4 linked regions of the Saccharomyces cerevisiae S288C genome follow. Changing the gene in region 1 together with any one later gene gives a genetic interaction. Each region holds a gene or a part of one and is shown on either strand. Other genes may lie near its edges. The genes, in order: RQC2, VMS1, RQC1 and PDE1.

Region 1 (9,709 bases):
TTTATTGAATAATTTTTCTCAAAAAAAAATTGTCCTTCTGACGTCAAATTTGTCAAACAATATAGGAATTGAGAAACCTTGAAAAGTAATGGCTGAGAAGAAACTGATTTTTTATGCGTTTCTTTTATTGGATTTTCATTTTTTGACGATTCTTCCTCTTTTAGTGCCTGGTTATACGTGTCAATTTTGTAAGCAATTTTGGAGACTTTTATATATCTCAATAGTTTATGAATGTTTAGGGTATCGATGTTACTTCCTGTGAACATATCGTTAGGATCTATTTCTTGTCCTATCTTCTTGAAATTTTTAACTATAAATTGAATCAGAGTCATCAAAAGTGAATTGAGCTTTAATAGATTTACTCTGTTACCGGGATTGAGCCTGGACTTAAATTTGTTGAAATAAGTTACTATCCCCTTATGGCAATTCTTTAAGTCCTCCAACGAGATCTGAGAGGAATATATAGAATTTATTGTTTCTATCAAATTATGAGCCTCATCAATAATTACTATAGAATTTTCAAGGTTTATTTGAAGACTTGAACGGGTGGACTCAGAAAGTAAGTATTGATATGGCAAAGTCACTACCTCCGCAATAGGAAGTGCCTCCCTCGAGGCGTAATAGGGACAAATTCCCAAAGATTTTCCCAGGGGAACTAAATCTTCAATATCTTGAATTTCTGAAAAAATCATATCTCTGAGAGCTAACGTATCAGGACAATGACGCCATTCGTTTGTATTTTGATAAAAGATACATCCCTCTTTACTATGTCTAAGGTCCGCACATGCGTCATTAATAGCTTCCAATGTTTTCCACTTCATCACTTTTGGATTAATACAAAGCTGCTTTTTCGAAGCAAGTGGTAAGTACTTCACCTTTTCATCTGGGACCTTATCCCTAAAGGATGATGGGAACGAGGGTAATCTTAACTGAGAAGTAAATTGACCTAATTGTGAATAAGTTCTGGATGCATAATATATTTTCACTGGATTTTGATTTGTAACGTCAAAGCGATCGCCATTGTTTGGATCTCTCGAAACCTTCCCATCAATTTTGTCTAAAAGTGTTATTATTTGTGAATTTAGTTCACTCAATTTGTAATCTTTATCAGATATTCTTCCTCCTCTTGTGCTTTTGGAGGTATCATTGTTTTCAGAATCTGATTCGTACGGGCGCGGAATAAAATCTTGTTCTTCAAGTGATACATCAAGGTGCCTAGCGCCTTTGCGTTTCTTTCTTAATGGATCAACTGATTTATATCTTCCATGTTCTTTATCTAAATCACACATAGTTTTCAACTGCTTACAACTGGTCGTGTTAATTTCGTTTAAATGCTTCTCATAATCATTTAGCAAATCCACCTTTTCTTGTAAAACAGACTTTCGATAAGTGTCAATAACCCAGTCTGGCTCGTCATCGCTTAGGTTTTCACTATCATCTTCATTCGTTTTGATGTTAGTTTCCATGCGGGTGAAAATATCTGCTTTATTCATTCTCAACCAAGTCATCGTGGCACAGATTAAGGACAGCGTCTTGCCTGTCCCAGTGGGGCTTTCCAGGATAGCTATTTTCTTCCCTTCGGATAGCACTCTGTATACAGTTTCCATTAACTGTACCTGAATATCATAGGGCTTATAAGGATGATAGAAAGTCTCCGAATATTCCTTTTTGTCCATTTTTTGGACTAGTGTGACTGTTTTTAGCCTGGTTTTCTACTCTTTTGGGTTTTAAGGAAACAAACTGAAGTTGCAGTAGTGCCCTCAACTTAGCATGTGCTGATTACACTAATGATGAATTTAAATATGTCAGTGATAATGTCATCAACTGTCAGGTAACAAATGAGCCTCTACCTCAACTCTGTGGTTACGATTAAAATTGGATTTTCAATAAATAGCCTGAGTTTTAACCTTTTCAACAATTGCGACTTCTCTTCCGGACATTAACTAATGCACTATATCTATTGTATATTTGGACGCGTTTGAACTTTTCATTCATGCTGCGGAAGGATAGAAAAATGAAATTTCGCCTGAAAAATAGTTTTAAAAGAATCCGATGGCAAATTGAAAAGAAAGTTGCTACTTATTATCCGGTCTAAGAAGTCAGGCAGGCAAGAGATTAATAGCGATGAAGCAAAGAATTAGTGCCCTAGATTTACTGCTGTTGGCTAGAGAGCTGAAACAGGATTTGGAAGGCTACCGATTGAGTAATATATATAACATTGCCGATTCCTCAAAACAATTTTTGCTGAAATTTAATAAACCAGATTCTAAACTCAATGTTGTTGTCGATTGTGGCTTAAGAATTTACTTAACTGAATTTAGTAGGCCAATACCTCCAACTCCTTCCGGCTTTGTTGTCAAACTAAGGAAGCATCTTAAAGCTAAACGGTTAACAGCTTTAAAGCAAGTAGACCAGGATAGAATTCTTGTTCTACAATTTGCTGATGGCCACTTCTATTTAGTTTTGGAATTTTTCAGTGCAGGGAATGTCATTCTTCTAGATGAGAACAGAAGAATTATGGCTTTGCAAAGAGTCGTTCTAGAGCATGAAAATAAGGTCGGACAAATTTATGAAATGTTTGACGAATCACTTTTTACCACAAATAACGAGTCTGCTGATGAATCCATAGAAAAAAACAGAAAGGCAGAATACACCTCTGAACTAGTCAACGAGTGGATAAAAGCAGTTCAAGCCAAGTATGAATCAGACATTACTGTTATTAAGCAACTTAACATTCAAGGGAAGGAGGGCGCTAAAAAAAAAAAAGTGAAAGTACCTTCCATCCATAAACTGCTGCTTTCGAAAGTCCCTCATTTGTCTTCAGATTTATTATCAAAGAACCTTAAGGTATTCAATATCGACCCTTCAGAGTCTTGTTTAAATCTTTTGGAGGAAACAGACTCACTCGCCGAATTGCTAAACAGTACTCAGTTAGAATATAATCAACTTTTAACTACCACCGATAGAAAGGGTTACATTTTGGCCAAAAGAAATGAAAATTATATCTCTGAAAAAGATACTGCCGATTTGGAATTTATTTATGATACATTCCATCCCTTTAAGCCATATATAAATGGGGGAGACACTGACTCTTCTTGTATCATTGAAGTTGAAGGTCCTTACAATAGGACGCTAGACAAATTTTTCTCAACAATAGAATCCTCTAAGTATGCTCTACGTATACAAAATCAGGAATCGCAAGCGCAAAAGAAAATCGATGATGCTCGTGCCGAAAATGATAGAAAAATACAAGCTTTATTAGACGTCCAAGAACTAAATGAAAGGAAAGGCCATCTCATAATTGAAAATGCACCCTTAATAGAGGAAGTTAAGCTTGCTGTTCAGGGTCTAATCGATCAACAAATGGACTGGAACACTATTGAGAAACTAATTAAAAGTGAACAAAAAAAAGGCAACAGAATTGCTCAGCTTTTGAACTTGCCTTTGAACTTGAAACAGAACAAAATTAGCGTCAAGCTTGATCTCTCTAGCAAGGAACTCAACACTTCTTCAGACGAGGACAATGAATCAGAAGGCAATACTACTGATAGTTCTAGTGACTCAGACTCAGAAGACATGGAGAGTTCGAAGGAGAGGAGTACAAAAAGTATGAAAAGAAAATCTAATGAAAAGATAAACGTTACAATTGACCTTGGTTTATCAGCTTATGCCAATGCCACTGAATATTTCAATATCAAAAAAACAAGTGCTCAAAAGCAGAAAAAAGTCGAAAAGAATGTCGGCAAGGCTATGAAGAATATTGAAGTCAAAATTGATCAACAATTGAAAAAAAAGCTAAAAGATTCTCACAGTGTCTTAAAAAAGATCCGCACTCCTTACTTTTTTGAAAAATATAGTTGGTTTATTTCAAGTGAAGGATTTTTGGTCATGATGGGTAAAAGTCCGGCTGAGACAGATCAAATCTATTCAAAATATATTGAAGATGATGATATTTATATGTCCAATAGTTTTAACTCTCATGTATGGATCAAAAATCCAGAAAAAACAGAAGTTCCACCGAACACTTTGATGCAAGCGGGTATACTATGCATGTCCTCAAGCGAGGCTTGGTCGAAGAAGATATCTTCTTCTCCATGGTGGTGCTTTGCAAAGAATGTTAGTAAATTCGATGGCTCTGATAACTCCATTCTGCCAGAAGGTGCCTTTCGGTTGAAAAATGAGAATGATCAAAACCATTTACCCCCTGCTCAACTTGTGATGGGTTTTGGATTTTTATGGAAAGTGAAAACCAGTGGAAATGAGGATAATGGTGATGATGACGAAGAAGAAGAAGAAGAAGAAGAGGAAGAAGAAGAAGAAGAAGAAGAAGAAGAAGAAGAAGAAGAAGAAGAAAAAGAAGAAGAAGAAAAAGAAGAAGAGCAACAGCAAGATGAAGACGATAGTAACGAGGTCAATGGGTTAGAGAAGGGTGGAGATTCAAACGATAGCACGAAAAACAACAGTTTTGAACACGATAATCTTGAAAAAGACATCGAAAAGCATTGCACCATATCATCCGATACCGACTCTGATTCTGGAAATGCTAAAGCCAAAAATGACAATAGCAGTACGCAGCGTATCCTTGATGAACCAGGTGTTCCGATATCTTTAATCGAAAACATAAACAGTAACGTCCGTGGTAAAAGAGGAAAATTGAAGAAAATTCAAAAGAAATACGCCGACCAGGATGAAACTGAACGTCTCTTGCGTTTGGAGGCCTTGGGTACTTTGAAGGGTATCGAAAAGCAGCAACAAAGGAAGAAAGAAGAAATAATGAAGCGAGAAGTTAGAGAAGATAGAAAGAATAAACGCGAGAAACAAAGAAGACTACAGGCTTTAAAATTCACCAAAAAAGAGAAAGCAAGAGTGAACTATGATAAACACAAGTCCGAATTAAAACCATCTCTCGATAAGGGCGATGTGGTTGATGATATTATACCAGTATTTGCCCCCTGGCCTGCGCTTTTGAAATATAAATACAAAGTCAAAATACAACCGGGAAGTGCGAAGAAAACTAAGACTTTAACTGAAATTTTACATTATTTCAAGAGTAGACCACTAGACGGTTCTTCAACTGACAACGAAATGGATTGGCCCCAAGAACATGAAATGATTAAAGGCTTGAAGGAACAGGACTTGGTTCTTCTGCTCTGTGTCGACAAGTTAAAAGTAACAATCGCTGGGCAGAAATCCACCAAGAACGGTGGTAACTCTTCGAAGAAGGGCAAAAAAAAACGCTAAATCATATGAGATGAAAAGAAAATAGACAGCAATTATAATTTTTTCATTATTTTTCATCACAGACCAACGAGAAGAATAAAATGATTAGCATGAGGTGACAATCATTTCTAAATGAGCAACATATACTTATATATATAAGTAGATACATATATATGGAAGGGAGAAAGTAAGACACTGCATATATACCATATAAGACCAGCTAAAATTTTCTTCTATCCGCTTTGCCTTGTGATCATAAGCCTTGCTGTAACCTTTCTTGAAACTTGCTCTTTGCGAAACCCCACGCGCCTAAGAAACCCTTATCCAAATCTAATGCCATTTGGGGTTCGTTCGTAGGTGGTTTAGAAACTCTGGATGCAATAGTGTTAGAGTCAGTTTCGAGGATAACACCATTATCAATGGTTTCATCAATAGCTAATAAAACCATATCATAGTTTTCTTGGATGTTTTTTTTGTCCATTCCTGAGTTCAAAATCAAATCCAAAGCTCCTCTGATTGCTGAAAATCCTTGCTGAAGAACAATTTCATTCTCTTCCAGCGAAGCAACTAAATATATCGTGATATCAATGTATTCTTTGTAAAGGACTAAATGATCCTCGAAGATTAAAATCTCCGAATCTTGCTTGTGAGTCTTACGGTATAGTTGTTTCTCAAACTCTTTTTGCTTCTTCACCGAATTGAAGAGCAATTGGTGTCCTTCATCAGATCTATGAGGAGGTTGATAATACTTTGCATAAATTCGTTCTCCTTGCTGATCTAGTATTAAAACAGCCTGAACAGTATATAGCGATAAAGAAGACATCCTGGAACAATGATGCACAGTACTCAAAATTAGCAAGCCAGCTCACAAACAAAACCTAAATGCCTAAAGAACTTCTGTCTAGCAATAACTTCGATATTCCACACCTTGTAGCCTAAACAATGCAAACGTGTTTTTTCACTTGACAGAAGTGGCGAAACGGGTAAGCTCGCGATGCTTTAGTTTTTTTTTTCAGTAATTTCATATTGCATGATGAAGGTATGCTAATATAACACTTGAAGTAGCTTCCTGAGCAATTCCAAATCACCTACTAGCGGAAAACAGCGATATCTTTGGGTCAATAGAGTTCCTCTGCTATGACTACAAATAATGACTTCTATTTTGCTCTACTACGCATATCTATTCTCCAATTATTGAAGGCACAAGGATTTGACAGGGCAAGGCCCAGTCTGGTGGATGTCATGACCGATCTCTATGCAAAATTCTTGAGTTTGTTAGCATCAGAGGTCAGTTCTATCGCTCAGGCAAGATGTGATCAGGACGATACAATTGCTTTACAAGATATAACTCTGGCTCTGGAAAATCTAGGTATTGTTAAGCCTACGAACGTTCTGGATGTCTATGATGAAAACTCCGAATTATCAAGTTCACGAGGAATGGAAAAGTTCAAGGACTGGTGTATTTATAGTACTCAATTGACCGACGCGCGAATAACTGCCTTACCCACAGTAGAATTACTACAAAGTGAGGAAAAAGAATCTGATCCTTTGTCAGCAATACCTGACTATCTCAATCAATTACTGCAAAACAAGGGTGCGAAACAGAAATTAGAAACAAAGAATAGAAAAACAGAGTTGATAGAAGATCTAATAAATAATAATGGATTAGATGATTGGATCAAATTAGTCATTGCTAGACAACGTATAAACATGATTGAAAGAGCTTCCAAAAAAGAATCTCAAAATGTACCGGCTTTACCACATATTGCAGGCTATAAATCTTCCATTCTAAGCCGCCATCACCACACTACCATAACAAACGAAGATAGGATGCCTTCGGCGATGACCCCAAGAGATGAGGATGCCTTAACAGAGATCCAAGAAAATCCATTTGTAACTAGCAAACTGCCGATAATGAGAAAAGAAAATAGGTTAGAAAATATAACTCTTTCATTTGAGGATGAGGAGCTTGAATCACTTGGCGAAGTGGAAGGCCCTAACCAAAAGTCTCAAGAAAATAACAATGAGGAAAGTTTTAAAGAGAACAATAAAAGTTTAACAGAGTCTCCTCATGGTGATGACCGTGACATATCAATGTTTCAATTCGACTCAAATGTTGATACTAAATGGGCAGAGCAGGAAGATATGGACAGCACATTTCAACGTCGAACCTCACTAGATTATGGGGGTTACTTTTAAAACGACATTTCTGCATTTTCTTTCGTCATTATCTCATCCATATTTAATTAACCTCACATTATTACTATATAGTGTACTTTCGCTTCTTCAAGATAATAAGCAATTAAACGCCCGATTCATTTTTTTCTTTATTTTAATCATTTTTAATATACAGTATTATAATATTCTTATATATACATATCTGATTTTTTCTCCAGGTGTGTAATTAGCCATATTGCTCAGTTTCAATCTTCTATAATTTTTTTCTAGATTTGAACTTTGGACCTTTCTTATTATGTTTGCCAATCTTGTTACCTTGATTTACTCTTCCTCTCATTAGCCTACTATCCTTTTCACCATCATCATCATCGCCAAATTCATCAGAGTCCTTTCCATTTTTCCTGAATTTCAGCTTGTTTCTTTGACCTCTTACAGGACCACTTTTCACAGCCTCTAGATACGCATTGATTCCGCTTGTCACAGCACTCAATGGATCGTCTACATTAGTAGAGGGTTTAGGTTGCCCCTTGACAACGAGTTTTCCTTCTGAGTCAAAGTTAAACGCATCATCATTAAACCTTGCTCTATTTTGATTCTTATTGAATTTCTTTGGTCTGGTAGATGATATATGAGCTAGTGTTTGAGAATCTAACAAATCTAGTGGGTTGTCACCGGATTCTACAATAAATTGCTTTGCCCCATTCTTCATTTTGCCACCAGCAACATTTTCCTCCTGATCTGATCCATTATCATTTTCTTCATCAGACCCATAAACAGCTTCATCGAATGCAGACATAAATCTTGAACCCTTTGTGGCAGCTACATCACTAACTCCAGTAGTAACTTCTTCATCTTTACGCTTATTCCTATTGCGCATCTTTCTTATATTTGTTAATAATCTCCTATCTTCTTCAGGGAAGTTGGCTTCAATGTAGTCATATCCAAATCTCCTTATTAATCTTTCAATAATATGCTTGACTTTGGCTTTGAAATGACCAGTGTGTTCGTGAGACCATCTTAATAACTTTAGAAGTAACTCTGGCACCTTTGGCCTCATCAGTTCTTCTGGAAGCCCCAAAACACAAACCTTGGTAAACCCAATGGCGCTTTTTACAATTTCCCTAGAGTTAGAAGTTAAGTACAATTCAATGGTGTCATATATATCCATTAGTATACCGGAATCGAGTTCATTTTTGAATTCAAAAACTAAACAAGCATAACCCGTAATTGAACTACTAACCATATGTTGAGATTCACCAATAAGACCGGCAGAAATGATCTTAAAAAACTCTGATATTGACGACGATTGATCTGGAGTGGTAGGATCATAACCTGGTATTTGGAATAATTTGATAATACCATTTGGCTCATTCATTTTTCTTCCCATACAAATTAAAGTATCAAAAGCGGTCTCTCTAGATTTTTCATTCACATCCTTTGTACTCAAAATAACCTCAGCGACGGTTCTAACAATGAAATCAAGATGATCTAAAGGTAATAATTCTACTATGGTTTTAATTGCTGTTAATCTTGCAGCTTTAGCAGATGTTTGAACAGAGGAGGCGCTATCTACCATGACATTCTCAATATCCGAAATGAATTGGGCGACAGCTGTTGATCCCGATTTCAACTCAGAAAGCTTTGTAATAATTCTATAAGCTCTTTTTTGAATTAGCGCGTCAGCAGAATTTACGGTGAGGCTAAACATTGAGAATAAAGCAGAATAAGACGAGACAGGTAAGTATGTTATCATACATATGATTAAGTCCAATAGTGTCGCTGTCAATTGAGGCTTTTTCTTTTCTTTGTTCACATTTCCGCTACTTTCTTCATTCATAGAATTCTTCAAAAGACCACATACGTTGTTGAAAGTTTTCTCCAAATCTTCCTTTGAAGTAATCTTTAAATATTGATCAATCGTTTCCAAAATATAACTCCTTGCATTTGGAGTGGTTTGAGTATAAACATTGAACAAAACTGCTAGAAGATTCGTTGATTTGGTTGAAAGGTATTCTATATTCTTTTGAGCTTCAGAAATGGGGAAACGTTGCAACAATAAAACGTTGTGAGAAGAGGACTCTTCGGCATATGAAACATTGCTTTCTGCCAAGACCTTTAAAGCATGACAAATTGTAGTTCTTAACTCAACCTCGCTGTATAATAAAGAAGATAGTTCTGAGGCAAATTCGTCAGTGAAGGATTCCCTCAAGTCCATTGGGAGTTCACAAAACCGTGGAAGTGTAGACCAGATTTGGTCAACAATAGTTTGAAAAACTCTCAATTGAATAGATTCTTCCGGGACTTTATCGAA
Region 2 (5,804 bases), on another chromosome or scaffold:
TACGAAAATAATGAAGATAATATTTGTGAAGGGAAGCCTGGAAAATGTTATCTGCAATATCGGGTTAAGGATGAGCCAAGAATAAGGGAACAAGATTTTGGTAATTTCCAAAAAATCAATAGCATGCAGGACGTTATGAAGAAGAGATCTACGTATGGTCATTTCTTCTTCAGATTCCCTCATGGAGAAAGTGCGGCAGATGTATATGACAGAGTCGCCAGTTTCCAAGAGACTTTATTCAGGCACTTCCATGATAGGCAAGAGAGAAGACCCAGAGATGTTGTTGTCCTAGTTACACATGGTATTTATTCCAGAGTATTCCTGATGAAATGGTTTAGATGGACATACGAAGAGTTTGAATCGTTTACCAATGTTCCTAACGGGAGCGTAATGGTGATGGAACTGGACGAATCCATCAATAGATACGTCCTGAGGACCGTGCTACCCAAATGGACTGATTGTGAGGGAGACCTAACTACATAGTGTTTAAAGATTACGGATATTTAACTTACTTAGAATAATGCCATTTTTTTGAGTTATAATAATCCTACGTTAGTGTGAGCGGGATTTAAACTGTGAGGACCTTAATACATTCAGACACTTCTGCGGTATCACCCTACTTATTCCCTTCGAGATTATATCTAGGAACCCATCAGGTTGGTGGAAGATTACCCGTTCTAAGACTTTTCAGCTTCCTCTATTGATGTTACACCTGGACACCCCTTTTCTGGCATCCAGTTTTTAATCTTCAGTGGCATGTGAGATTCTCCGAAATTAATTAAAGCAATCACACAATTCTCTCGGATACCACCTCGGTTGAAACTGACAGGTGGTTTGTTACGCATGCTAATGCAAAGGAGCCTATATACCTTTGGCTCGGCTGCTGTAACAGGGAATATAAAGGGCAGCATAATTTAGGAGTTTAGTGAACTTGCAACATTTACTATTTTCCCTTCTTACGTAAATATTTTTCTTTTTAATTCTAAATCAATCTTTTTCAATTTTTTGTTTGTATTCTTTTCTTGCTTAAATCTATAACTACAAAAAACACATACATAAACTAAAAATGGCTAGAACTTTCTTTGTCGGTGGTAACTTTAAATTAAACGGTTCCAAACAATCCATTAAGGAAATTGTTGAAAGATTGAACACTGCTTCTATCCCAGAAAATGTCGAAGTTGTTATCTGTCCTCCAGCTACCTACTTAGACTACTCTGTCTCTTTGGTTAAGAAGCCACAAGTCACTGTCGGTGCTCAAAACGCCTACTTGAAGGCTTCTGGTGCTTTCACCGGTGAAAACTCCGTTGACCAAATCAAGGATGTTGGTGCTAAGTGGGTTATTTTGGGTCACTCCGAAAGAAGATCTTACTTCCACGAAGATGACAAGTTCATTGCTGACAAGACCAAGTTCGCTTTAGGTCAAGGTGTCGGTGTCATCTTGTGTATCGGTGAAACTTTGGAAGAAAAGAAGGCCGGTAAGACTTTGGATGTTGTTGAAAGACAATTGAACGCTGTCTTGGAAGAAGTTAAGGACTGGACTAACGTCGTTGTCGCTTACGAACCAGTCTGGGCCATTGGTACCGGTTTGGCTGCTACTCCAGAAGATGCTCAAGATATTCACGCTTCCATCAGAAAGTTCTTGGCTTCCAAGTTGGGTGACAAGGCTGCCAGCGAATTGAGAATCTTATACGGTGGTTCCGCTAACGGTAGCAACGCCGTTACCTTCAAGGACAAGGCTGATGTCGATGGTTTCTTGGTCGGTGGTGCTTCTTTGAAGCCAGAATTTGTTGATATCATCAACTCTAGAAACTAAGATTAATATAATTATATAAAAATATTATCTTCTTTTCTTTATATCTAGTGTTATGTAAAATAAATTGATGACTACGGAAAGCTTTTTTATATTGTTTCTTTTTCATTCTGAGCCACTTAAATTTCGTGAATGTTCTTGTAAGGGACGGTAGATTTACAAGTGATACAACAAAAAGCAAGGCGCTTTTTCTAATAAAAAGAAGAAAAGCATTTAACAATTGAACACCTCTATATCAACGAAGAATATTACTTTGTCTCTAAATCCTTGTAAAATGTGTACGATCTCTATATGGGTTACTCATAAGTGTACCGAAGACTGCATTGAAAGTTTATGTTTTTTCACTGGAGGCGTCATTTTCGCGTTGAGAAGATGTTCTTATCCAAATTTCAACTGTTATATAGAAGAGCAAAAAATTGCCAAAAAAAACAACATTTATTCATTTGAAATATAAAATTTGGGCTTCTATATTTTAATATTGCTTTTCAATTACTGTTATTAAATGTAAGTACTGTGTCTATGAAAATATATGCAAATGCTAAGAAAAATCCTAAAAATTTGAATATGAGATATTCCTCAGTATTTCTTTTTCATCCTTTCTTCTGCGGCTCTAGCCCTTTGTTCTCTCATCAATCTGCGTCTCTGTTCATCGGTCAAAGAATTCAAATTTTGTTGCTGAATTGAAGGAATATTGGTTAACTTTTTGCCTGGACCCCTCTCTGCATCTTTAGCAAATCTTTGTTTTTCCTTGGCGGCTTCTAATTCCAATTTAATCAGTTTTTCTGCCTTTTCATTCTCTATTGCTTTTTTCTTTTCATTGATTTCATCAACTTGTTCTCTGCTCAATGGCTGACCGATATGAGTTTCGTCCCAATTAGTGAAAGACTCTCCAAGATTGTATCTTGCAATTTGAAACGCGTGTCTCACGTCGTCGTTTCTATTCAAATCCCACGCAGTCCTTCCTAGTCTGTTCTTGATCGTTGGATCGCATTTAATATTTGAGAGCAAAATCAGTGCCATCTGTTTCATCCCTTGCTGCGATGCATAATGTAACATGGTAGGGGTTAAGGAATATTTACTCTCAGGCTTTAACCGAAAGTTTCCATCAAGCTTATTCTTTTTTAAGAAGGATATCAATAACGGTGCCCTTCCTTTCTTCAGCAGAGAAATTATTTCTTCTGTTTGGATTTCTTCCAGTAACGGTTCTTGTTTTTCTTTAAATTCGTCCTTTTTGTTCGACACTTCTAACTTTTGTACTGTTTCTTTCACTGCCAATGGTTCAGGCTTAGGTAATATTTTCAGGTAGGAAAGTTCGCACCATGCCTTCTTCAATTCTAATACAGTGGGCCTGTTCGTGGTAAAAGGGAAGCTCTTTATCCTTTCATCACCCTTGTTCAGAACGGTATTATCAGTAAAAATTTTTTTATCACTGACATTGCGAGCTCGAATAAAAATATTATCACACTTTGACAGATAAGGTTCCCAGTCCTTCAACACACCCTGTATATCTGTTTTTAAAGCGCTTTCATTGTACCTACGAAGTGCTGAACCGGCAGAGTTAGCTTTTCCCTTTGCATTGTCCATTGCTGACTGAGAACCACCTTGCTTCCTTCTGGTAGTATACCTGTGAAACGTCTTGTGCTCTAAGAAATTGACCGCTTGCTCAATTAAGGTTTCGTCCTTCTTGTGCGCGTTCCCCTTGACATTGAGTCTTTGATGAGAAACAATTGCTCCCGCAAAATGTCCACCTCCCACCATAAACAGAGCTGAAATGGCCATTGGGTTCTCTTGCGAATTCCAAAAAGTCAAAGCTTCATTGGGGTTGGAAAGACTCCTTTTATTAAATAGAGACTTATAAATCGCCAAGACCTCATTCTTTTGAAGATACTTCGATTTGAAATAAATGTAGGGCGATTGGGTATTAATATGGCTAATAGCATCCGACTCGTCTTTTTGGAACCCTAATTTCTGCAAATCATTTTCGATTATAGTTTCCATATAATTATTAGTTTGTAGGTCCGGGTCCCGATCGCTGGCTTCCTCACTTTCTTCGTGATCGCTTGAAGTTTGCTCGCCGCCAGAATTTTCGTCTTCAGACTTGATACCATGCTCCTTAGAAATCAGCGCATCGAATTCCTCAACGGATAGGATATCCAGCCCCCTAAGGTTACGCTTAACATTCATCAAATGATAATCAGTCTGGTAGTGGGCCTTTTGTTCATTTCTGGAATCAAAGCTCATTTGACAAACACTACAACGCATAACATTTGATGTGACCTTCTTTCTTGCTATTTGGAGATCTCCAGACTCCTTGTTTCTATCATTATCAGATGTCTTCTCTACTTCAACTTCTCGCAGTGTGGAGTCAAAGCTCATCAATTTCAATGAATTCAGAAGTTGCTCAGACAAATCAAAAATATAAAGATCATTCTTTTTTAGTGAGCCAGTCATTTTACTCGCCTTTTGTGAATTCATGCTATTGGAAGCTTGTCAACAGGCGTGCAGATCTTTTGAAAATCCTTTTTCTTCGAAGGAAAGGTGATATGCATTCTCATTTATTTTCATATACCTTCATCTTTTATTTTCTTCTATTTAAGATTTTGTCACTACATCCATTCAGAGAACCTGCAAAAATAAATATCTGAAAAAAAAAAAAATCGTAATAAATATACAGAATATCGAAAAAAGAAAAAAGGCCACTTTTGAACGTTGTGAAAAAGATATTATTTACATAAACGTATATTATCACTTATAACACTATAAGAATCAATATTTCCACATTACTTCGAACCAATTCTGTGGCACTCCTCCAAGAAAAACTTGATGACGTCTGGATCCATGAAAGGGTGGGTACCGTGACCGAAATTAACAATGTAGCGGGACTTCCCACCTCCAAAAGCCTCAATCATCTGTTTAACTTTCTTTGTTATTACCTCTTTAGAACCATACATGACGCCAGGATCCAGGTTGCCCTGCAAGGTGACACGGTTCTTGTTTATTTTTACCGCTTCTCTTGGGTCCCAGGACCAGTCCAACGAAACAACGTCAAATCCTGAACAGCATAGCTTGTCCAAAGCATACCACGACCCTTTCGCAAAAACGATCATAGGAATCTGTTCCATGATACCTAATTCTTGCAATCTTTTAGGCACTCTTTCGGCAATTTGTCTTAAATATGGTAGGGAAAACTCATCAAAATCTACAGACGAAAGCTCACCACCCCAACTTTCAAAAACTTGTAGTATTTGAGCACCCGCCACGACTTGCTGACTCAGAAACTCCACGGCCACATCAGTGATTTTTTGTAATAATTTGTGAGAAAGCTCTGGATACATGTTAATCCATTGTTTGGCAAATCTGAAAAGACGGGATCCACCGCCTTCCGTCATATAAACCATTAGAGTCCAAGGTCCCCCGCAAAAGCCAAATAAGGGAACCTCACCATCCAACTTGATCCTTGTCATGGTGATTGCCTTGAAAGCCCAATCTAACTCTTTCAAAACATCAACCTTGTAGTCTAATACCGTTTGGAGGTCTTCCGGATTTCTTAAAGGTTCTGGGAAATGTGGACCTTTACCTTCGAGCATCTCGACCCTCATACCCATGGCTTGCGGAATAACTAAGATATCACTAAAAATAATAGCAGCATCAATGAGGCCTCTATAGCGTCTTACCGGCTGGATAGTAATCTCAGAAGCAATTTCCGCATCCCTGCAAGTTTGAAAGAAATCACGATTGTTTTTCACCTCGTGATATTCCGGCAGGTAACGACCTGCCTGGCGCATTATCCAGCATGGCGGTCTCTCGACTTTTTCACCCTTTGCGGCTCTCAATATCAAATCGTTTTTTGGAGCTGGAAAGTTACCCATAGCGTTATAACCTGTTCTTTGCTTTATTTTTTTTTTTTTTGTTCTTCCTTTTCTCGAAGAGAGCTTACCAAACACAATTCTGAGATAATGCTTGATGAATTGAAGAACCTATCGATCACTCTATG
Region 3 (5,944 bases), on another chromosome or scaffold:
TCCATCTTTTTTTAACAGCTTGAACTGCGAACCTGGCTAGCGACTTTTTGTGCCTCTCCTCCTCCTTTGCCTTTCTTTCTTCTGCTCCGGCTACGTGTTTAAAATGTTGTTCTATCATTTGAGAAACCTTTTTGGCTCTTGCTATTCTTGCCTTTGTTGAACTTCTAAACAGCTTACTCATATGAATACCTTGGTTAATTAAGTGATCGGTATGGATTTGCAGATCTTGTTGTTTATAGAAATATGAAATCGGGTCTGGTTTATATGTTATGATAGTCTTGATTTCCTTGGATGTTATAGGTTGTAGTGAGTCCGTTTCTTTGTCATACTTCAATGCGCCATTTTCAATACCTTTTTTGAGTCTCGATAAAAGCCGTCTTTGTTCGTCGATGTATTTATTATATTCTTCCAGCGTTAAATCGTCTTCTAATGACTTAAAGGAAGCGATGTATTCGTGCAAGCTTTCGTATCCCGGCTTGACTACATGCAACGGGTTCGTTATGGTTTGCTTTGGAGGATGGACTACCAGTTTTATTCTAGGCTTCTTTTTCTTTCTACCTCTTTTTTTCTTTATATCTTCCTCTTCGGATGATGTGGTGAAATAAAAATTATCACTATAATGTTCACTAGTATTTTCAAAGGAGCTATCATCAGAAGGACACTTTATAGTGAAGGCTTCAGAGGGTTCTTCAACTTTTGCGATGTGATCATATCTCTCTTCAGCTATATGTTCATGCAATGGCAGTGGATTTTCCTTTCTTTCACTTTTGAACTTCAAGGACTTCGCTGCTTCTCTCTTCTTCAAATGTTGTATTGGTCTTTTTTGCGGTACTATAGATTTCCTATTTGAATGATCACTTAGTTTGTATTTTAGCTCCTCACATTTATTTCGTACTAATGGTGCTATGCTTTCTAACTTCAGTTCTATATCACCCTTTTTCTCATTAGTCGTTTCTGAACTAACAACTGTCGATGTCCTGAGGTTTCGCCTTCTGCGAGTAAGATCACCATTCGTGCCTTTCTTGGCTACGTCATCAGTGAATTTTTCTCCTCTCTCCTCTAACGACAAGTGTGTTTCCCTGAGAAACTTCTGAAAACTTTCAGAATCATTAAAATGGGTTGGATCATAATCTACCAATGAAACAAACTCTCTTAAATGGAACAGTTCATTCGTCAGAAGATCATACCTAAACTTCAAATCCGCCAGATCCTGTTCACCACCAGCCTTTTTGTCTTTCGCATGCGATTTACGAGATGTGGTCATATATTCTTGTAATGCAATAACTTGGAAAATGCAAAGAGCAGTTAGAATTCATAAATTTTCAGCTTAAGGAAATATTTTCTAAGAGTTAAAATGGTATTGTTGAATACCTCTCAAATGCAGTAATCGAATGCTTTGGGTCTTATCTAGTTTAAAGCTCAAAATCTATCCTTTTTGCACGTAAACACTTTAGAATCCCGCTATCCCTTTGCACTCTTTCTTCAAGTCTCCTCTTTTTTTTTTTTCTCGTAAGTTGTCGCGAAACGCCACCGAAAAATCTTAAGGAAATAATATTAAAAACTGAAAAAAAAAAAATTGAGAAAGTATTACCCTCCCTTAATAATCGTATAGAGGTATAAACGGGTAACATTATGCGAGCAATATGTTCACTACTGCATCAACGTATAGTGAAAAATGTCCATAGGTAGTACATACAGTCCACCAGTTGAAGGTTAACATACAGGTCGTTGAATCATCTAAATATATTTGTAAAGTACTCGAACATGAGCTCTAGAGCATTAAGGAGATTACAAGATGATAATGCTCTGCTAGAGTCGCTGCTATCGAATTCAAATGCGAATAAAATGACGAGTGGTAAAAGTACTGCCGGTAATATTCAGAAACGGGAGAACATCTTCTCTATGATGAATAACGTACGTGATTCAGATAATAGCACTGATGAAGGACAAATGTCTGAGCAGGATGAAGAAGCTGCTGCTGCTGGGGAGCGTGATACTCAAAGTAATGGTCAACCTAAAAGAATTACACTAGCATCCAAGTCTTCTAGAAGGAAAAAGAATAAAAAGGCAAAAAGGAAGCAAAAAAACCATACCGCCGAGGCTGCAAAAGACAAGGGTTCCGATGATGATGATGATGATGAAGAATTCGACAAGATTATCCAACAGTTCAAAAAAACTGATATATTGAAGTACGGTAAGACTAAAAATGATGACACTAATGAGGAAGGTTTCTTCACGGCATCTGAACCAGAGGAAGCATCTAGCCAACCTTGGAAGTCATTTTTAAGCTTAGAAAGTGATCCGGGCTTCACAAAGTTCCCCATTTCATGTTTGAGGCATTCTTGCAAATTTTTTCAAAATGATTTCAAGAAATTGGACCCCCATACGGAATTCAAACTTTTATTTGACGATATATCTCCAGAGTCTCTTGAAGATATTGATTCGATGACATCCACACCTGTCTCCCCTCAGCAGCTGAAACAGATTCAGAGACTGAAAAGATTAATTAGAAACTGGGGCGGAAAAGATCATAGATTGGCACCTAATGGCCCCGGAATGCACCCGCAACATTTGAAGTTTACCAAGATCAGAGATGATTGGATCCCAACTCAAAGAGGTGAGCTCTCTATGAAACTTTTAAGTTCTGATGATCTTTTAGATTGGCAATTATGGGAAAGGCCGTTAGATTGGAAGGATGTTATCCAAAACGATGTCAGTCAGTGGCAAAAATTCATTTCTTTTTATAAGTTCGAACCTTTAAATTCCGACCTGAGCAAGAAATCAATGATGGACTTCTACTTAAGTGTTATTGTTCACCCTGATCATGAAGCCCTTATAAATTTGATTTCTTCTAAATTTCCGTATCATGTGCCTGGACTGCTACAAGTTGCTTTGATATTTATTAGGCAAGGTGATAGATCAAACACTAATGGATTGTTACAAAGAGCACTCTTTGTCTTTGATAGAGCTTTGAAAGCAAATATTATTTTCGATTCCTTGAATTGTCAACTACCTTATATATACTTCTTCAACAGACAGTTTTACTTGGCAATATTTAGATACATCCAATCTCTTGCTCAAAGAGGTGTTATAGGAACTGCTAGTGAATGGACAAAAGTTCTCTGGTCACTGAGCCCATTGGAAGATCCTTTAGGATGCAGGTATTTCCTCGATCACTATTTTCTATTGAATAATGACTATCAGTACATTATAGAATTATCCAACTCTCCATTAATGAACTGTTATAAACAGTGGAATACTTTAGGATTTTCCTTGGCGGTAGTACTAAGCTTCCTAAGAATAAATGAGATGAGTTCCGCCCGCAATGCGCTTCTAAAAGCCTTTAAGCATCATCCTTTACAACTGTCAGAACTTTTCAAGGAGAAACTCTTGGGCGATCATGCGCTAACTAAAGATTTATCCATTGATGGCCATTCGGCAGAAAACTTGGAATTAAAGGCATATATGGCCCGCTTCCCGTTACTTTGGAATAGAAACGAAGAGGTAACATTTTTGCATGATGAAATGTCGAGTATTTTACAGGATTACCATAGAGGAAACGTTACAATCGATTCAAATGATGGGCAAGATCACAATAACATTAACAACTTGCAATCACCTTTCTTTATTGCGGGAATCCCAATTAACTTATTAAGATTCGCCATACTATCTGAGGAGTCTTCTGTAATGGCTGCAATTCCATCATTTATCTGGTCTGATAATGAAGTATATGAGTTTGACGTATTACCACCAATGCCTACGTCAAAAGAATCAATCGAAGTGGTTGAAAACATCAAAACCTTTATTAATGAAAAGGATTTAGCTGTCCTTCAGGCAGAAAGAATGCAAGATGAGGACCTGTTGAATCAAATTAGACAAATATCTTTGCAACAGTACATTCATGAAAATGAAGAGTCAAATGAAAATGAGGGTTAATAAGAAATGTTGCAGCTCATTTTCTAGTACGCAGAGTAAGGCTAAAGCACTTATTTGAATTTAACGTTATTCATTGCATAGTTCAGAAAGGGTGTGATCCAAAAGAAAATGCATATACGAGTGGTCCGACGTTTACATATGTACTAGTGACTGTATATTAATATATGCACATTTATGTAGCTACGGATTTCACTTTATAAAAGATCTTCTTTTTTGATATTCTAATATTCGTAACAATGATTTCAACGGGTAGACAGGTGCCAAACTGCTGGCAAAGATTAAGTTGGAAGCATCTCCTTTCGTCATCTTAGTATTTACATAAGTAGTAACATCATCCAAAGATAATCTAATAAAATCTTTTGAGGACTCACCATATACTTTCTTTAGCTTTCTGAAAACAAAGTCTCTTTGTTTTGACGTAGGAACTGTTTGTCTCCATTTCGAGTATTTACTAGATATTGCCTGGTATTGCATTGTTTGTCCTTCCAAGTCCGAATTTAGAGTATTTATGATTTTTTCCACCTTTGACATTACATTCCAAAGATTAGCGTCTTTTATTATACTTTTTGGAACATAGTCCGCGTATTTATTTGTTATAAAACACGGTAATTGTCGATACATTTTTAGATGATATACCATCGACAATTTGTCTTCGGATTTTTCTTTGTATATTCTCAAATGATTCTTACCTTTTAAAGGGAGGCCCCACGCATTTGAGGCAAATTTCACCCACGGATATTGTGAGTTCATCAACAGCTCCATTTCTTTTACAGCTTCAGAAGCTTCATCAAACTCCTTGCCAGATGGATATGAGTTATTGCTCTGTGTAAAATTCCTAAAACTATCAAAGGAGCACAAGGTTAAATCAACCGAATTTGCACTGTGAATCCAATCGGCAACGCTATTTCTTTCAGTTACATTTTCCATTGCTGCTTCATCAGTCTGAAATAAAGCCCTTAACCTTTCGTCGATTTTTTGTTGTTTAGCTATTATCTCTCCTTGGATTGCTTTTAAATCTTCAACTGTAGCATCATCAAATTCGATATCATCACTCCTTATACCCAGTAGAGTGGGCGCTGAAACCACTCCAACACTAGAAGCTCCAATGAAGTCGATGATATGACAGTGGTCTTTCGAATGGTGTAACCGTAAACCTCTTCCAATCATTTGAATCAAAAGTGAACGCGATTTTGTGGGCCTACACAGTAGTATACAATCAATATTTGGCATGTCCGTTCCTTCTGTGAATATTCCACAGTTCATGAGTACTTCAGTTTCCCCATTTTTGAATTTTTGAATTATATTATCTCGTTCTATCTGTTTTGTATCCGAGGTGACATAGTCCGTATTAATACCGTTGTCTTTAAATAATTTATGCAAACTTTGTACATGGGCTTTATCAACGCCAAACAGTAATGTTGATTTTAGTGATTTCTCTTGCTTTTTATGAAGGTAAGTTTTCAGAATTACTTCATTAATTTCTTTCGTATTCATTAGAGACGATAACGGTGCCAGCTGGAAGTCATCTGCAGTGCTTTTTACATCTGATAAGTCTGCTTCAATTTTGACTGACGTGAATTTTGCCTCACATAGCCACTTGTCATCGATCATTTCCAGTATTCCCCGGTGGTACACAATTTTATCCATTACCATTGACAAAGCTCTTTTATCTGCTCTTTCGAAAGTCGCACTAAAGCCAATAACAGGGATTTTGGTTTCTGCAGTTGAAGCTTTGAAATGATCTAAGATACTTCTATAAGAATTAGCCACAGAATGATGTGCTTCATCAATGATGATGAGATTCACTGAATTAGTATCATATTTATGGAGTCTTCTAATCAACGTCTGAACAGATGCAACAATCACGTCAGAATCTTCAATATCGCAATCATATTTTCCCATTTCTATGTGAACCTTTAAGTCGGGGAATATTTTTTTAAGAGTGGCCGTCGCTTGTAAGGCCAGCTCCCTCCTGTGAACCAGGATCAACGATTTAAAATTTCCTTGA
Region 4 (7,537 bases), on another chromosome or scaffold:
AAAAAAAGAGTAAGCATTCGGGTAAATTGAAAAATTTACTTCGAGAATATTAGGAACAGATGAGGTCTGGTAATGTTACTAATACTTCTGTAATATGGTGAAAGAATAGCGAAATATTAGACCAACATAGTGTATCCCAATGGGTGTTAGTGCAAATTTGTTCGTAAAGCAAAGAGGGTCGACAACAGCTCTGAAGCAGCCAAAGGAAATAGGATTCTATTCAAGAACTAAGGATGAAGAATATTTAATTAGCGATGATACGAATTTGAATTACTACTATCTTCCAGACGCTGAATTGGACAGGAAGTTGGATCTTTCATCAGGATTTCAGAAATTTAAGGATTATTACAAAGATTTTGAAGACAGGTGTTCCCTGCGTGGGCTATTAGAAACCATAGAAAGCTCTGAAAGACATAAAGGAAAAAAAATTAATGCTGATATAATTACTTTTAGAGGAATAGCACGGAAATTAATTTCATGTGCATTTGACTCTCCATCTTTTAATACAGTTGATCTTCGTATCGTTTCATTCAACGGCCAACTTTTTATCAAGGAAGTGCCTGAAGCTGTCAATGCAGCTAAGGCTTCCTCTGCAACTGAAGCAGGGCGTAATATAAATCAAGATCTGAATGTATTTACAGGGTACAAGTTTGAAACTTTGGCTACTCTTTCCAATCCGTTGCAGTATACACCCCGTGAAGTGATAGAAAAAAGAACTAAAAGGATTGTATCGCATGGAGATGAATACATTAGTGTTGTGAGAACTGGTGTAGGTAACTGCAAGTTAATTCTTGGTGCTGAGGTGGATTGTATATTTGACTTTAAAGAAAACGGTAGAGACAATTTAAAACATTATGCCGAATTGAAATGTACGCAGCAAGTTGCGAACATATCGGATACGCATAAGTTTGAGCGTAAACTGTTCCGGACCTGGCTGCAATGCTTCTTAGTTGGGATCCCAAGGATCATATATGGTTTTAAAGACGACCATTATGTATTAAAAACTGTGGAAGAGTTTTCAACGGAGGAAGTACCTGTTTTATTAAAGAACAATAATCCACAAGTTGGAAGTGCATGTTTAGAAGCCATTAAATGGTATGGTCTCCTTACTGAGTGGCTTTTGAAAATGATACCAAGAGATGAGGATCCTCATTCTCAAATAAGAGCATTTAAGTTGGTTTTCGAAAATAATCACCTAAGATTATCCGAAATTGAAGAAAGTGATGAGGAATATTCAGGTTTGATTGATGGAGAACATATATTATCGAACGGGTTTAAGGAGTGGAGAAAATCTTTGAAATAACAATATTCCTTTATGTCTTTCCTGCGCATATCCTCATCGACGTATGGATCTAAATAATATAAATGTGCAGATTAGATTAAGTTATATACACTATGCATGGCGAACCGATTTTGTATCTTTATTATTGAGATAAACCCTGTATGATCCGAAACTCGTATTGGTAACAAATATTATACCTATTATGCTAATTAAAATGAAAAGGAAAGATCGTATACTGAACGCTTCAAAAAAAGCATTTATTACCTCCGCCAGAGTACGAGCCCATGCTTTAGCCCATTGGTAATCGGAGCCAGACACTATTTCCTTGTTCATACATTTTGACCATTCATTGCAACGTACCTCCAATGCTGGAACCCTCATATGAGGTTCGCACTGGTTTTCAAAATACCTTGATTTGCAAGTTGCAATTTTATCTAATTCTTCCCTCACGTTATGCTCCAGTTTTAAGTTAACATCGTTTCTTATCATCAAAATGAATTTAATAGCAAGAGACAGTCCTATAGTTCCTATAATAAAATTGAAAAAAAGCTGTATATACTCCGCAATTAAACTTGGGCTCAACCAAATGCTTTGTCGGGCTAATCTAGCATCTTGCGGATGTTCACCTTCCAATACTTCCTCCCTTCCCAATCTTGGGTTAGCAAGTATGCCATCAGGCTGTCTAGAAAAACTACGGAGTTCCATTCCGGGACTTATGTTGGGATAGGGGATTCAAAGATGAGTCTACATAAGTTAACTCATCAATAATAATGGAAAGAAGTTTCATTAGTTACTACTAGTATTTTGCTTGCTCCCGGGTAATGAATTTTTCCGCTTTTCATCTACGTAGTATTATGTTATTGACGTTGTGTACATTATAGAAACAAAGTGTGGCCTTCTAGCGCAATAGATATTCTCAAGTCTCCTAAGTTCCTCTCCTCAGCTAAAAATCGTAACTCTTCGAGTATGGTTAGTCTTGGGTCTCTTTTAGCAGGTGTTGACTTAACGTGAGTAACGATAACATTCAAACCGCTTAATCCCTTACTACTGTTGTATAAAGTGTTCAAATTGGATAATTCGTTGATTAAATATATTGGAGATAGATGACCATACAATTGCTCGGGCTTGGAAGATAATGGGCATGAACATTCGACTAATATACCCTTGAGATGCACAAGCGGTATATTTTCAGCAACGTAAGACCAAAATTCTTCAAGTAGAGATTCTTCAGATTCTCTGCGGTCCTGCTCAACATCTCCGCAAACTATTATACAGTCTTTGCTTTTCCTGTCTCTGAAGATATAGAAGGTGCTGTATACCGGCGCGCCAGTCTTGACGCCTATCCCATGATGAACTTTGAACGGTATTACATCCCAAGGAAAGATAGTGCACTTTTGAACTTCCTTCGGATTCAAGCATTTTAGCTTCAATTTTCTTGAACGTTCTGCCGTTAAATCTGGCCATATTAAGTCATTAAAGACATGCTTTTGCAAAACGTCAATAGTATGCGGTAATCCCCAAATAGTTTTCTTTTTACTGTTTTCCTGCTCATATATTGAGGGGGAGTTTACTACCAGCCCACTAATATGGTCCAGATGGGGATGGGTAATGTAGTAGTCGGTAATTCCTTGGAAAACCTCGTAAGTTTTCTTCATTGTATTGGCGCTTTCAAAATGCTCTCCCTGCCTCTTTAATGATTGTAGCAAGGACTTGGATAATCCCTTTTGTATGTTCAGTTTGGAATCAATAAAAAACTCTATTGGCTCTCGATCATGTTCATAAAAGCTTGGAACAAGCTCATCATCACCTTCATTTTCATTTCGCCCTTGGACCAACATCTCCCGTAGCTGGTACATTCCTGCACCACCGTCTACAGCTATTAATTCTGGATCCTCTGTTCTAGCAGGCTTAAGTATAAAACACTGTGTTCCGTATTCGGTGGGTCCTCCATTGGCCCCAAGTATAGTTATTTCGAATACAACCATAAAAAGGAATATTGGTAAAAAAGGGGATGAAGAAGAAGAACCTCGTTAAAAGCCACTTTCTCTTGGAAATTTCTAAAAATATAAATTTCAGATATTGCTTCCCTCGAAAATGGAAAGGGTTTGACTATTGGTAATTTTTAGTTTCAAGTCACGCACCCTCACCAAAAAGTGCATCTTAATCAGTAACTCATTTTCCGTGCGGTATTTTTTTCGGGTTGTTTATTGTGACAGATGTAATATTATACATACGTTAACATATGATCTACAGATACTCCGATGATCCAAGGGTATAAAAAATAAGGTAAGGGTTAATTAGGTGGCTAGTTCATGTTAATAAATACATTTTCCTTGGTTGAATTTACTAACTGTAGCATGTAGTCGAAGAACGAAAGAGGCAGGCGTAGTATAAATAGTTTACCGGGTAACGATCCTTGCTGGATTTACCATTCTAAGGTTAATAACTTCTTCAGGCGAGTCATTTGTGAAACCGTAAGCATTTTAACAGCTTTGCTTTCTTCCTTTATTATTGCCATAAAAAATTCTTCGAGACTATATGTCTGGAAAATTTTCCGTACTAAGAGGATGTTAAATCCCAAATCTAGAAGAATATCGGCATTTGCAATATTTTTTTCTTTCTCATCGTTATATGAAAAGGCCCATCTTGCAATGAAATATTTCATCCAATCAATAAAAAAGTCAGTAGTCTCATGAATGAAAAAAACATCAACACGTGAATTCAATAAATAAAGTTTGATTTTCCAGAAAAGATCAGGATCAACGTCTTGTATTATTTCAGAAAACTCCACAATTATAATGACTCTCTGAAATTCAGTTAAAAGATCGTTTACCGCTTTATCGTAATGCAATGAGCCGTTATTTCTGAGTTGCATAAATCGGCTCGCCTGAATTTTATATACACATGTTGAATGGTTTATAATGAAATCGCATTCGCCAAAGTAAGATTGTTCGATAAGGTCTAGATGGGAATTTTTACATAATGACTGAATTACCTTTTGGTTCTCAATCACCTTGTTTTCATTTACGGCTATGCATTTATTCTCAATATCTTCTTCCAATATTGAATGCTTTACTGAGTAGTTATTAAATGAGCAATCTTCCTTTCCATTGTAAACTGAATTAGAGGTAGGAATTTCAATATGAGAATTTGCATATGTCCCAGAATTTATCAAGTATGAAGTGGAAGATATACCGGTGTCACTAACATCCTTGTCCTTCTTTATTTTTTTTTTGGTGACTAACATGGACATTAGTTCATTATCGATGAAAGATCTCTTTTGAGGAGCTAATGATGTATTAATATCCGCCTTAGATGAAAGACAATCATTTTCATCAAATTCTTGGGTTTCAATAGCAGTTTCATCGTGTCTTTCACTTTCTTCAATTGACTGATTTTCAGTTTTTTTTACATCTGGCATACTCATTGCAAGCTTTATACTACCAAACGTCTTTTTTTGATTATCGATCAGGTCAAGGGAGCCGGAATCTAATTTTTGAAAAGTTAACCTTAATGGTTTGATCGAATAGGCCTCCCTATTTATGGTAACATGCTCAAATATTGCATACCTAGAATGATTGCAAATTCTTTTCAGAGGATCCCATACCAAATCCTTTAGGTCTTCTTTTTCTAGACACCATATTTTATAGTTCTTTTTCTCAATTGGCTTATTCTTTTTCAATTTTTTCATTCTTATTTTAAAAAATTCTAGTTTATTAAATTGAGCATCAAAGAGTTCATCATAACGTTTTTCAAACGTATTAAGCTGTTGATCATGTTCTGGGACTTTCACAACCCAGCTTTGCGAACTGGTCTTGAAATTGTACTTACTGCACCTACTCTTATATTTGAAAGATTTCTCAGGTGAGATCCGTTGTAAACGGTATCTATTGTAGGTTTGCTCAAAAATTTGGGGCTTCCATTCTGACAAAGGTTTATCAGAAAATCCAACGCAGAAGTTCAACTTTTCCTCCGTTAGTGTGCTGCATTGCACTTCCAGTACAGAGGACATTTGTCTTAAACTCGGATATGGTACCTTTTTCCTGTATTGACTTCTTCTGAGAAGTGGGATGTTGAACCACTCTAACCTCGTGTTATCGTCTGCCAAACCGTGTTCCGTCATTTTTTGGTGAAGAGGAGCATTTAATTGAACTGAAAGACTTTTCATCCAGCTAAAAAATAACATGTCCTGTTTCCCGACTTTTAACTTTTCCTTGAATAACTCATACTGTAGTTCTTCTTTGTTGTCATTCTCAATGTTAGTCACATTCCATGTTTTGCCAACGGCTACATCTATTTTTTGTCTTCCAGAGGTGATGTGAATTACCTCCAAAAAATACTCTTCACCATTGATCGTGCCGCAGTTTTCATACCCTCCGATTTTCAGTGGTTTAAGTTGCAAATTTCTTAGCTCTTTCAAATATTTTTGTGCTCGTCTTCCCAGTTTGATGTTTTCTTTTAAGTTTCCTGACAGAACAGAATAGCCGCCCACATTTTGGTTACATTTAGATAACTTTACTTCCCAACGTTCAATAATCATAGTATTTTTGTAATATGATCTATTTCTCTAAATTGATTCAATTACTCGAGCTCGTTAACAATGGTGTGGCACTATTGAGTGATTTTCTTCTCCTGAAACATATTTTATGCTTGTATTTTACATATCCTAACAGAAAATACTTTCAGCAATTCTTCCGAAAGTAAAACTTGAAAAAAATTGAAGAAAATGACGAAAAAACAATACAAAACAATAATACAATTCGCTACAAAAAAGGGGGAAGGGCTATCAGAAATCGAATATGGACCTTTGCATCATCCAAAATTAATGAATACTTAACTGCTGACTATACAAACGAAAAAGAAGGCGACCTTAAATATTACACAGAGCCAATAATTTATTCGCGGGAGAAGATTCTCAAAAGGAATCCGTGACTGGGAAATCAGAAACTCACCGTTGGACATCAGGATTTCCCACGATCAGTGCTGATTAAACATGGCTACTTTAGTCTTCAGAATCCTCACCTACGTCATCATCTATGTCCATTACAATGACTTCTGAAGTATTCTGGTGTGTATATTGGTCATTGTCATCCACAATTAAGGGATGCGTTTCATCGTTAGAAAATGGCTTTATGTTTTTCAACGTAGCTGAGCTTTCAGTTAATTCAACCAAGGCGTTGTACCGAGAGACAAATCTTGGCCTTGTACTTAATTCAATAGCCAAGTGCGTCGGTATATCAGTTTCAAAATTAGACTCCGATCTTTCCTTCAGGATTTTAAATATAGTATAAACATCGCTGAATGAAATATGGTTGTTGTAGACATTATCTTCGAACAAGGTCAAATCGAGGCTTTTCAGTTGTAAAACCAACTCCTTCGTAGCAAAAGCCAACCTGCCAAAACGATTTCCCATAAATTTACGAATGGATTCCATGAATTCCCCCATGGGTCGCTGATAAAGAGCAGCGTTTTCACATATTATGGGGTTGTTACTTTCGTTCTTATCATCCGACGTGAACAACAGAAATGTAGTATCTTTATATTCCACGGTGACTTTGGGCAATTCGCTTTTCATTAAAGTCTCTGCCACGTTGCGTATACGGGCGTCCGATGGTTGTTCCTCCACGAGTTCATCATCATACTCCAAAAGGTCTTCTTCATCGCCCTCATCCAATTGAACCCCGACGTCATCCACCTCCACTGTTTTATGCGCTTCTTCTTCACTCATCTTTGATTCCATTGATACCAACAAAAACAATCTTTAACTACGTATCTTTTCCTTTACGTATATATAATTAATCATATATACTTCCCTTTTTTATGCCTTGTTGTAGTTTTAACATATCATGTACCACGAATGGATGCAGGCTCGGCGGGTATTTAGACTTTGCCCCGGATTATAAACAAAACGGGACTATTAGTATCATCTATCAAGAAATCCTTTCATTGAAAATGATTGATACCTCAAGGTGGATTTGACAACTTAAGAGGCGTCGTAAGGATGAAAACAAAGTTTGATCGCCTCGGTACAGGAAAAAGAAGTAGACCCTCTCCAAATAGTAGTAACGAAGCTTAGCAACACCCTTATCAGTTTACACCATATCGGACAACAACAGTATTTTGACTAACATTGTTACCTCTTTCTTTTATTATCTAGCGGAAATGCAACCAAAAGTGGTTTTTCTGGACTAGAATTTCAGAGGACTTATAGATATTGACTTTAACGACCAGTCTGCTACATTTAAAAGAAATAAG

What was found.
Region 2: of RQC2 (region 1) and VMS1, a mutation in one rescues a mutant of the other (synthetic rescue), as found in Saccharomyces cerevisiae (5 studies listed by BioGRID, with this or other methods).
Region 3: of RQC2 (region 1) and RQC1, changing one suppresses a phenotype caused by changing the other (phenotypic suppression), as found in Saccharomyces cerevisiae (3 studies listed by BioGRID).
Region 4: mutations in RQC2 (region 1) and PDE1 impair growth when combined (synthetic growth defect), as found in Saccharomyces cerevisiae (one study listed by BioGRID).

What each region holds. Positions count from the first base shown.
Region 1 is NC_001148.4:531,352-541,060, reverse strand, and holds RQC2 (Rqc2p), read left to right. Parts: upstream 1-2,124; coding exon 2,125-5,241; downstream 5,242-9,709. Other genes in the region: CHL1 (DNA helicase), read right to left, coding at 1-1,676; RET3 (coatomer subunit zeta), read right to left, coding at 5,474-6,043; TAF3 (Taf3p), read left to right, coding at 6,358-7,419; mRNA-binding protein RRP12, read right to left, coding at 7,652-9,709. UniProt on the Saccharomyces cerevisiae protein: Key component of the ribosome quality control complex (RQC), a ribosome-associated complex that mediates the extraction of incompletely synthesized nascent chains from stalled ribosomes as well as their ubiquitin-mediated proteasomal degradation.
Region 2 is NC_001136.10:551,735-557,538, reverse strand, and holds VMS1 (Vms1p), read right to left. Parts: upstream 4,286-5,804; coding exon 2,387-4,285; downstream 1-2,386. Other genes in the region: acid phosphatase DET1, read left to right, coding at 1-483; triose-phosphate isomerase TPI1, read left to right, coding at 1,067-1,813; uroporphyrinogen decarboxylase HEM12, read right to left, coding at 4,591-5,679. UniProt on the Saccharomyces cerevisiae protein: Endonuclease that cleaves polypeptidyl-tRNAs downstream of the ribosome-associated quality control (RQC) pathway to release incompletely synthesized polypeptides for degradation.
Region 3 is NC_001136.10:1,131,252-1,137,195, reverse strand, and holds RQC1 (Rqc1p), read left to right. Parts: upstream 1-1,764; coding exon 1,765-3,936; downstream 3,937-5,944. Other genes in the region: chromatin-remodeling protein SWR1, read right to left, coding at 1-1,264; IRC3 (double-stranded DNA-dependent ATPase), read right to left, coding at 4,126-5,944. UniProt on the Saccharomyces cerevisiae protein: Component of the ribosome quality control complex (RQC), a ribosome-associated complex that mediates ubiquitination and extraction of incompletely synthesized nascent chains for proteasomal degradation.
Region 4 is NC_001139.9:31,383-38,919, reverse strand, and holds PDE1 (3',5'-cyclic-nucleotide phosphodiesterase PDE1), read right to left. Parts: upstream 3,268-7,537; coding exon 2,158-3,267; downstream 1-2,157. Other genes in the region: RAI1 (decapping nuclease), read left to right, coding at 140-1,303; BRR6 (Brr6p), read right to left, coding at 1,394-1,987; ZIP2 (Zip2p), read right to left, coding at 3,708-5,822; RMR1 (Rmr1p), read right to left, coding at 6,285-7,010; HFM1 (DNA helicase), read left to right, coding at 7,284-7,341, 7,494-7,537. UniProt on the Saccharomyces cerevisiae protein: Controls the level of cAMP in yeast cells, together with the high-affinity cAMP phosphodiesterase (PDE2).